Linked DNA regions of Arabidopsis thaliana. The protein of the gene in region 2 interacts with the protein of the main gene of each other region in a pairwise test. Each region holds a gene or a part of one and is shown on either strand. Other genes may lie near its edges.

Region 1 (7,396 bases), about 15 Mb from region 2:
ACGCGTGCTAAAGGAGCAACCAAACCAACGGTCACGATCAAGGCCGCATTAAACGGAAACCATTTGTGATTGTTTCATCCAACGGCTCACACTTTCCCTTGTTTGACTCTCTTCTGTCCATCCCCTCACGCGTGCTCCCTCTTCTTGTTTTTTTTTTTCCATTTAATTTCCACTATTTATTATTTTATCATAACATCTATTTTATTTTTATGTTTTAAAAAACTTTTCATTCAAGAAAATCCACTTACATAGTGATATACATGGGTTAAACACTGTAATCATAGTGTGTTCCATCTTTACAGAAATGGATAACATATTTTCTACATACAGTAATTCTTTTTTCCTAAAGAGAAGTTGTTTGAGTTTTTACTATCCACTTACATAGTGATATACATGAGTTTTTTAATAGACCTAATCTAAAGCATGACACCGGTCAAATAGAGTGATTTAGTAAATTTTACTAGATACAGTAAAAACTCTATAAATTAATAATGGTGAGCCATAAAATTTTATTAATTTATAGTGATATTAATTTATCCTCTAAATTAATATATATTAATTTACCGTATAAGTTAATAAATATTAATTTATAGAAATATTTACGTAAAGTACGATACTATATTCTTTTAAAAATATTTCTTAATGTAATTTTCTATATGCTTTGTTGTTTGCATATATAATTATGTTAGGTTTTTATTTTAATTTGACTTCTTTAATTTATTTTCGGTAAGATTTGTATTTGTATATCTACGACATTAACGTGAACGTAAACGTAAACATGAAAGTTAATCCAGTTTCTCTTTACACAAATCATAGTAATGCTTTCTCAAATAAAAGATTTTATAAAATCAACTATGACGGATCAAATACGCAAATAGTTATGTGAGTACAACAGAGATCATATCAGTTGTATTTTAAAAAGAGTTGTAATTATAGCTTGAACAAAAATTTCATATAAAAATTAGTCTTAAAATATATATTTAAGATCTATAATTATTAATTTATAATATTATTGGGACTATAATTTTACATAGGAATTTTAAAAAAATGATTATCTTATTATTTTATTGATTTTGGTTAATTTTTATATTGGCACAACTTGGAACCTACAAAATTTATTAATTTACCGTGTTTATTAATTTATCGAGTATTAATTTATAGAGTTTCTACTGTAATAGTAATATCCACTTTTATAGTTAGATAGTGAAATAGTTAAAGAATTACTTATGCCGAAAGAAACAGATTAAAGAAACTGAACATTATGAAAAGATTAAGAAACAAATATTTTGTTTGAGAAAAAGTTAAGAAACAATATAGGTATCACGACACTCTTATACTTTGTTGGATTTAAATAACACTACTAATAAAAATGTGTCATCTTTCTACTCCAAGATTTTTTTTTATCTAATCTAACAAGTAAAAAGACATATTTTGTCCAAGCTTTTTACCTTTTTATCTTGGATGAATCAAATTAATAGGAGTGCATTTTTTTTTTTTGAAAATTCCAAAAATTTGCGGTAAAGTTAAACATCTTTTTGCTCCACATTTGAAAAAACAAAACAAGTAGATTCACGCACGAAAAGCGTGAAACGAAATTATTAACTTTAAACAATGTTTGTTTGTGTAGTGACTAGTGTAGTGTGTGTGAGTGAGTGATTAAAGAAATGAAAATGGGCAAACCAAACGAAAAAAAACAAACCGCACCAGAAAAAGAAAGCCACGCTCGCTCGCTCTCTTCTCCTTATTTCTCTACCCTTCCCTTCTCTCTCTCTTTTTGCCACACACATCATTCTCTCTTTAGATCTTCTTCTTCTTCTCCTCTGTAACAACAAAACAAAAAAATCACTCTTTCGAATTTGATCAGATTCTTCTAAAGCTTTAGTTTTTACGCATCACCGATTCATTTGATCCAAAGGGTTTTTGATTTCTTCTACGGTATGAATGTTTTCTGCTTCTTTCTTTCTTTATACCGCCGCAATTTCTGACTTATTAGGACTTATATGTTTTTTCTTTGTCTTGTAATTAGTACTTTGACGGTATCTCATAAATAGCTATTTTATGGTTTATCAGATGATTGCTGAATTTGATTTTTCTATTGAATGTTCTGTCTTGTTTATGTTTGTTTGTGTTATTATTAATAAACTATTCATGATCGCGTAAAGATTCTTTCTTTTAACAAGTCCAATTCTTTTGTTGAGGTTTTGTTTCCTCTATGTGTTCTGTTTTGAAGCAGAGTTGTTAAGTTATTTTGATTTTGGTTTGTGATCATGAAATCGAAAAACATTTATTCTGGATCCGATGTTAATGTCTTTAGTCATGATCCTATCTTTTTGTTTGTTGTACGCAGATGCCTAAAGTTGTGCTTTTTTATTATCTGAATCAGGAATTAGAAATTTCCCATTTTTTTGTTTCTCTGTTTTGTTTTGCCAGTAGTTATTTTAGGATTCTACCTCGAAGTTAGTGCCTTTCAACTTCCTATACTGAAAATATATTAGTATTTGAATAGCGTTGGTCCTAATTTTTGTTTGTTTGTGCAGAGTTTGTGAGAAGAGGAACGGTATTTAATACACTTACAAATTTGATATTGGAAGAACCAAAGATGCCCTGGACAGCATTCTTCATGTTTTTCAACAGAACTTGCACTCGTCTGGTTGTCTTTTTCCTCGTTATTCTGTAATTTTGTTCCTTTCAGGTGAGCCAGCCTCTCATTTCACATCTTGTGTTTTTGTCTTACATTGGTACCTTGTGGAAGCAAATTTTGTTGTTGCCACCTTATATACAGCTTCTTGTGTTAAAACTATTGGCATCTCTTCCTTGTTTTGCAGGTGTTGTTTCCGGAATTCGGAATAGTTCTTTGTTGTTGTGCTTATTATACTGGTTAGTTTGTGAGAATGTGCATTGTTGGAAACAAGAAGGGAAACCGATCATTGAAGGAAATAGGAACTTTTATGATGACTACATGTTTCATTGCTAATTACCAATCCGTTCAAGTTTGCCAGGTACATGCCTCTCTTTGATTTAGTATTTCCTAACACTTCTATCGCTTAGGCAACACTGATTTATGTCATTAAAAGAACTCTATCCTCTTGATGACATGTGGATAGCTATTTGTTAGAGTATTAACCATAGTTTTTCTGATATTCAACCTTTCTTATAAATCATTGCAGGCTGAATATTTCAGACAGTTGCTTAAGCCTGTAACGTAGTCTAGCGTCTGGAGTTTTCGGAAATTGGGGTTTTGAGCGGCTATCTACTTTTGATTTCGAAAAAATTTACTGTGAGTTGTTAAAGAGTCTGGTATTCTGAAGAGCTGTCTGTGGGGGAGCTTCTGGTTTGGGGGGTAAGGGCTCTGGTGGAAACTCGTGATATCTTTAGTATGATGGCCATAACTTGATATAGCATTTGGTTCCGTGTGTCAACTTAGTGTAGTAGTAACTGAGCAGCTGGAAGCTTACAAAGGCGACAAATCGGTAGTAGAAAATATTCAAGCAGCTTGCAGTTTGAGGTGTACAACTTGTTTTTCTCTTTGCGTTTCCTTTTTTACGTTTGCACGGGTTTTCTGATGCAGAACAATCAGTTTCCTCACTTCTCAGATGAAGTGGGTGACAGAAATATGCACAACCCGTATGCATCAGGGTCATCCTATGATGCTTTGTTCCCACCATGTGCAAAGTTGCCATACCATGGTGTTGAACTTCAACCGTCTGCGGTCTGTCCAAAGAACTTTGTCATCTTCGATCAAACATATGACCGCAGCCAAGTGATGTACCATCCTGAGCTGACTCATAAGCTCATGAATACCCCTTCGTTGAACAATTTAGCTTCGACGTTTCAGAACGAGTATGTTGGGGGAAGTTATGGTAACTATGGTAACTATGAGCAAGAAGTATCCTCTTCTTATCAAGAAGATCCAAATGAGATCGATGCTCTCTTGAGCGCAGATGAAGATTATGAAGAGAATGATGATAATGAAGGTGAAGAGGATGGTGGTGATTCAGAAGAAGTCAGCACTGCTCGTACTTCTTCCAGGGATTATGGAAACACCACAGCAGAATCTTGTTGTTCCAGTTATGGTTACAACAACAACAACAACAACAACTCAAGGAAGCAGAGTTTATCGGGCAGTGCTAGTAGTAGTAACAATGATGGGAAAGGACGTAAAAAGATGAAGAAGATGATGGGAGTATTGAGGAGAATTGTCCCTGGAGGAGAACAGATGAATACAGCTTGCGTTCTTGATGAAGCTGTTCAGTATCTCAAGTCACTTAAAATCGAAGCTCAGAAACTTGGCGTTGGACATTTCTCAAACCAATCTTGAATGCTACCGATATTCGGTTCTTCCATCACTATTGTTTCTCGGGAGGTAAATCATCGGTCTAGCGCTATCTGGACCTTTCTCTTTATTTTCCTCCCTCTATACTCACTTCCTTTTGTTGGCAGGATGGTATCTATTTTATGTTTGAATCTCTCTATGTATTTTGCTTTTTGTGTGTTACTGCTTCGATGAAGAAGCAAGGTTTGAACAAGTACTTGTGGATTTGATTTGAGATTTTAATTTGTATGGTTTTACTTTCACTGTAATCATTTGACTATGAACTACAATTATCATTATGTATTTGCTTCTACATAGTTTTAAACATTTGGTCTTCCTTCTACTGAACAATGTAAGGGCCATCATTTTGAAAAGTCACGCTTATACCATAAAACGGGTCCTATACGTAACCAAAATTCAATTTCTGATGGAAATTAACTGGGTTATTAAATAACCGGGTTTATAAATTGGGTTATGATTACATTTTATTTTACACAGTATAGCTCAACGATTCGTCTCAAAGCTTCACACTTTCGTGAAATCTGCAGACTTTGTGTAGTTCTCAAATCTCGATTCGTTGGATTCAGTTGAAGAAATAGGCAATGGCGACTCCGTCGTCGTCTTTCTGGAACACAGCTTCACGAGAAGCCATGAAAAGCGGCGTGTTACTCGCGAAACTCTACTGCTTTCTTCATGTAACAACAAACTATCTCGGATTCATGGCTTATGTGAGTCAATCGAAATCTCTCTTCTTTTTTGGTGTAAATCGAATTCGTTATTGAAAATTTACCATAAAGATGTAGTCTTTTTGAGCAGGCTTATGGTCCGAGCATGACTCCGACGCTTCATCCTTCGGGAAATGTGTTATTAGCGGAGAGAATCTCGAAGCGGTATCAGAAACCGAGTCGTGGAGATATAGTTGTGATACGATCTCCAGAAAACCCTAATAAGACTCCAATTAAAAGAGTTATTGGTATTGAAGGTGATTGTATAAGCTTTGTGATTGATTCAAGGAAGAGTGATGAATCTCAAACCATTGTGGTATGTTTTGTTACTTAACCTTCTTCCTTGTTGACTTCACTTCACTTTGGTTTTGCTTATGGATGAGATTTTTGAATGTTGTACTTAGAGAACTGAGTTTGAAGAAGGTAGATACATTGTTGAGAAATTGAGTGATCAGAGTTGAAACAAGTTGTTAATTAGTATTGAGCTCGATTTAGCTGATTGCAATTCATGGAAAATTTTGAATCTTTTAGCAACGTTAGTGTTATTGGTGTATATTACAATTTCCTTTGGATTGTTTAGTTTGTTGGATTAATGGCGAATTGATCTTTCGATGTTTTTTTGGTTTTAGGTTCCTAAAGGACATGTCTTTGTTCAAGGTGACTATACTCATAACTCACGAGACTCAAGAAACTTTGGTACTGTACCTTACGGTCTTATTCAAGGCAGAGTGCTTTGGAGGGTATAAACTTTTTGTCATTAACTTACAAATATAGTTAGATTATCTGATTTCGGAACTTCAAATGTGTTATTTGCATTTGTTTTGGTAAATCTATTTGGCTAATCTTCGGTATGTATAATAATGTGTAGGTTTGGCCATTTCAAGATTTTGGACCGCTTGGACCAACCCCAACTTAGCATACGAGTTAGCTTGGTCATTAGGCCAATGAGATGACCGAGGCAGATTGGTAGTATGGTTAATCGTTGTTGCCGAGTGAGTCTGGCTCATGACTGACTATGAGATGCAGGATCATCATACCATTCACGAAGATGGGAGAATCTAAACGCTCAGGAAAAGTGAGTATATGGTTTAGACTTGAGAGCACGTAACATTATGTATTTTTGGTCTGACGCTGTATGTGAGAGTCGCCTCTGTATCAAAAAGTTAAAACAAACATCGAATGTTTTGTGTGAAGCCAAGATTATTCATGGGAAAATCTTATAACCATTTAAAAATACTACTTGATCAATAGCATTTCCCCACATTTTAAAGATTGCTCTATTTTCACTTAAATCAATCATGGTGATACCAATTGGTGGTAACGTCAAGTTTGTCAAGCCAAACTGTAGGGATTTTCTTAATTGTGTGTCAAATAATTTTTAAAACAATCATTGTGATTTATTTTCTGTTTTCCCACATATTTGATAGTTATTTAAAATCGTAGTTTCGACTATCACAATTTTTACCAATTGGTTATAAAAATTTATATAGTCAAAGTCCTTACAAAAAAAGTTTTTCCAGTCAAAGTCTCTACATCCAACATTAACAATTGTTATCAATCAACCATAACTATGCGGATAATCAATATTACCAACCTTCCAAACATTAATCTAAGAATTGACTAACTTTTATGCAATTTAAATTACTACCATTTTTCCATCTATATAAACCCTATCTTGCACCCACAAAAAAAACATATTCCTTGGCTAAAGCCAAAAACAGCAAACAAATACTTAGTTTAAATTTCTCTTATTTTTTTATAGCCAATAAACTCATAATTTTGTTTTTCTCCAAAATGAAACCCAAGAAAACCAAAGGAAAACAAAGGATTAACATCAAGAAAATTGAAAAAGACGAAGACAGATTGGTCACATTGTCTAAGCGTCGAAATGGTATCTACACTAAACTCAGTGAGCTTTCCATTCTCTGTGGTGCTGAAGTTGCGTTTCTCGGGTATTCTTGCTCTGGAAAACCATACACATTCGGCAGTCCGTCCTTCCAAGCCGTGGCAGAGCGGTTTCTCAACGGCGAGGCCTCGTCGTCTTCTTCATCATCGTTGCAACGATCGGTCATGAATGCTCATCAGCAAGCGAAGATTCAAGAGCTTTGCAAAGTATACAATAGATTGGTGGAGGAGATAACGGTGGAAGAAGTCAAATTAAAGAAGACGGCTGCATTGGCGGAGATGATGCCCATGAATGAGGATGCGTGGTGGAAAGTGGATCCAAATGACGTGAAGGATCGCGAAGAGGTGAAGAAGATGATGGAGAAGCATCAAGAGCTCTATGAGAAACTGTGCGAGGAAGCTGCTTCAAGGATCAAGAGAGGACATGATGAGAATAATAACAAATGATCCATAA
Region 2 (3,823 bases):
TGTTTTTTTGTGTGGCTCGATGAGTTCTCGACATTTTAATATCGTTATTGAAGTTTCCTTTCTTTTTTGAAGTACATAACAAGGAACCAAATTTTGATTAAAAAAAGTCATATATATATATATAAGAGATGATAAAATGAATTCATGAGCTTCCAATTGATCCGAAAAGCCAGCAAAGTAACATGTGTGTATTCGAAAATCAACTGATCATAATCTTAATTTGTCTCTATGAAAATTACGAACCAAGGTTTATTAGTTTTTGACAAATATTATATTATTTTACAAAATCATCATAATATCCTAAATTCAACTCATCATTTTAATGAAATTAAAAAAAAAAAGAAATCTTCAAAACTATGTTATTAATATCCAAATAACCGAACTCAATTATAATATGATGAACCTGAAAAGTTATAACTCTACAATTTTCGTTTCTTTCAATTCTACTATTTATTCATATTGAAAAACATGATTCCATTTATCTTTCTTTAGTATTTAGAACATTTATCAGATATTTTGTAATTATTCCGTAATCTCATACCGCTTCTTTACTATCTCTTATCTCTTTAAAATTATTCAGTAATCATACACTTTTTTTTCTACCTGCAAGTTTTTTTTTTTTTTTTGCATCACTAATTGGGAACCATGAAAAAAAGAACAAACAATAGTGGAAGAAAAAAAAAAATAAAGATAAGAAAAAAAATATAGAAAAATGGAATAAAAGCTCTGAAAATAGACCTGCAAATGAGAATTCTTAGAGTAGCTGTTCGGACCATCTCCCCCACTCATAGGAAGTGAGTTACGAACAATCTCCACTTTTCCCATTATACTTTTTTTGATTTGCGTCTATACTTTGGCTATGTCTCGCCTATCATTTATATAGGCCATGCACTTACCACGTAGTGCTTGATATTATATTTACTTTAACAATAATTGAAACCCTCTTGAATTGAACTATACAACACATACACACACGCGATTATATGCGTATAAAAACAAGAAATTAATACAAGAATTTGCTATCACACATACACAAATCAAAGTACAATGTAGAAAAATATTTTTTGAAAAGAATAAGTTCGAATATATAGTACAATTTTTTTAATTGTAATCAATAAATTTGTTCTTCAAATCACTTAAGATGGCCAATTATCTAATAAGTAAGAATCTTATTACTATAAGTTATAGACTAGCTACTACTCTACTAGCTAGGGAGAATCATCATTGGAGTGGAATTCATTGTTTTCTTTTTTGGTGCAACTATAATAGATGGGTTTTAAGCCAATAAAATTCTTACAAACCAATATAGTACACTAGTCATTGGTTTCATTCACTGAGCTTAGACGATCCCATATCCATATCCAATGAACTACTACTACATATGTTTTTAATTAAATAGAGAAGCTAATACTGAATTATCATCAGTGGTTATTATGACTGTGGTCCTAATACATTACGTACAAGACGACCACAATACATATATTATTTTCTTTTAAAAAATTGAGTATTATTTCTGAACTAAACTATAGGTCTTGCGTGGGAAAACTACGTAATCGTAGGGGCATCAAACTAATAATTAAATCATAGGTTAAACTACGATAATATACCCATTCATCTTCAAAGGAGATGCTCTGTACTAATATATCCAAGAATGAATCAAAAGATGCCAAAATATATGTTTATAAACATAAATCTCTGTTTATATCTCTATCAATGCGTTTCTTGATTCTTTCATAATTAATAAGAGATATGTTATTGTTATATAAACAAAAATAATAGAACAAGCAGATAACTGAACCAAATAAAATTTTGGTAAAATAAAACGCTATTCTGCCTAACTTAAGAACATATCAGAAAACGCTATGGGCCTATTATTGGGCTTGGGCCTAGGATCTTTCTGGGAAAGAAAACGCTCATCTTTCTCAACACAAGTGAAATTTCTCCAGTGCTTGCTTGAATTCTGCAAATTTGGCGGTCTCCAGCGAGAGAGAGCTATTCAGTCTTCAAATTCTCTCCGTTGAGAAAAAAGAGGTACACTTGTGTTTCATTTTTCTCGGAAAGTACGATTTTATTTCTATTTTTTTTGGTTCTCTTCACGAATCTGAAGACTGATTTTTCCGTCTCTGTCAACAGCTGCTATTTTATTCGTGTCGATGATGGAGCCTCCGAATTCAAACAGTGTCTGTGATCGCTTTGTGACTGGGAATTTAGACCTTGATAACTGGATTTGGATTATTGAGTACTTTGCCAAATTCAAAACTGAGCTTTGGATGTTAAATGGTAATTGAATTTTTAATTGCATCAGTTTCTTTGAAATTTCAATTTCTGAGATTTTGTTTTATTATTGCAAGATGTCTTTGAATTGGCTCCTAAGCTTCCAGATTATTTGGGTGAATATACAAATGAGATGGTAGCTTTCAGATGCCTAGCTTCTTTGTTTGATTCTCATGTTGTTTCTGTTACTACTACTACTACTACTACCTCAATGATCGAGTTTGATTCCTCTGAGAGCTGTGAATATGTACTCCAATGTATCTTAGATGAGGTACTAATCTTTCATTTCCTTTTCAATGTGGTTTCTTGATCTTACTTAGATTGCTTGATTCTTCGTTTTCTAGATACCGTTATCGGAACTGAAACCGGGTGCACCGGGTTTAACGAAGTGGAATCTTCAACCTTTTATCAAACACAAGCTTCTTTCTCTACCAAAATGTGCTTTGGAACTGGTATTATATAAGTTTTGCTTTGAAGTTCCTTTTAGTTTGAGAGCACTATAAGGCTTATGTTTGTTTTGTTTTGATCAGATGATTGAACCATCATCATGTGAGAATGATACTCAAGTGTCTCCTTGTAGTGAGGAAGAGACTCTGAGAAGTGATGGCAAAGAGAATGACCGAGTTACTCCTCCAATGGATGAGCCAGATCTTACGGGAAGAACAGAAGAGGGAGAGTCATTTTCTCGTGGGGCTGATGAGTTGCTCGATAGAAGAAATGCCGGATTTCGATATGAAAGCGAAAATGATGGTAGTCATTTGTCAAGTCCTGTAGAGAAAATATACAGATGTGTTAACTGCAAAGAAAGTGGGAAGCTGTTGTTTTGCTCTAGTGATGGCTGTGAAGTCATGGTTCATCAGAAGTGTTTGGATTCACCACCTTCTTACCATGATGCTGGAGACTTTTACTGCTCTCTCTGCGCTTTAACCTGTCCTTCAGCTGAATATGTTCAATTTCAAGATGAAGTGGCTAAAGCAAAGAGGAAATTAGTTTCGTTTCTTAGACTAATGTCAGAGGTTAACAAGAAGAAATCTATTGAAGGAACCTGAACATTTTGTAGGATGTAAAGCCTTACTCATATATTCTAAGATTGTCAACAAACATAAGATCTCTCTTTGTTACAATTTTCCGTGGTAGATATACAAACATAAGATCTCTAGTCTCTGATACTTTCTCTGTGATTGTTTAAACAGGAGTGATCTGGTCTGTAACAGAAGCTAAACCATGCATTAACCTGACAATCTCAGTAGTGTCATCCAGGTAATACTTGGCCTTGCTAGGCTTTTGACCGACAGTACAAGCGAAAATCTCAGCTCTTGGGGCAATCGAAGGGCCTTCAGTGGAACTGCAGATCACCTCAAACATGTCTTCGTCAGACCGGTCATCTCCAATACATAGAACAAACTCAGGAAGTGTTCCTCTTTCTTGCATCATCGAAAGCATCCTTCTCGCTATAAGTCCCTTGCTCACGCCCTGCATGACAACAACAAGAACTAAGAAGACTCTACAAATGGAAACATATGCCAAGGTTTTTTGGGGAATTGAACTG

What was found. The genes of interacting proteins can lie anywhere in the genome.
Region 1: the proteins of AT1G68030 (region 2) and AT1G29950 interact in a two-hybrid assay, tested with the Arabidopsis thaliana proteins (one large-scale study listed by BioGRID).

Annotation. Positions count from the first base shown.
Region 1 is NC_003070.9:10,489,899-10,497,294, forward strand, and holds AT1G29950 (basic helix-loop-helix (bHLH) DNA-binding superfamily protein), read left to right. Parts: upstream 1-1,799; 5' UTR 1,800-1,935; intron 1,936-2,076; exon of another isoform or gene 2,077-2,456; intron 2,457-2,537; 5' UTR 2,538-2,999; intron 3,000-3,167; 5' UTR 3,168-3,562; coding exon 3,563-4,318; 3' UTR 4,319-4,700; downstream 4,701-7,396. Other genes in the region: AT1G29960 (Peptidase S24/S26A/S26B/S26C family protein), read left to right, coding at 4,915-5,040, 5,129-5,353, 5,667-5,777, 5,906-5,953; AGL64 (AGAMOUS-like 64), read left to right, coding at 6,832-7,389.
Region 2 is NC_003070.9:25,499,878-25,503,700, reverse strand, and holds AT1G68030 (RING/FYVE/PHD zinc finger superfamily protein), read left to right. Parts: upstream 1-1,897; 5' UTR 1,898-2,031; intron 2,032-2,133; 5' UTR 2,134-2,153; coding exon 2,154-2,280; intron 2,281-2,325; exon of another isoform or gene 2,326-2,351; coding exon 2,352-2,545; intron 2,546-2,618; coding exon 2,619-2,726; intron 2,727-2,804; coding exon 2,805-3,323; downstream 3,324-3,823. Other genes in the region: AT1G68040 (S-adenosyl-L-methionine-dependent methyltransferases superfamily protein), read right to left, coding at 739-825; ATTPS6 (UDP-Glycosyltransferase / trehalose-phosphatase family protein), read right to left, coding at 3,460-3,747.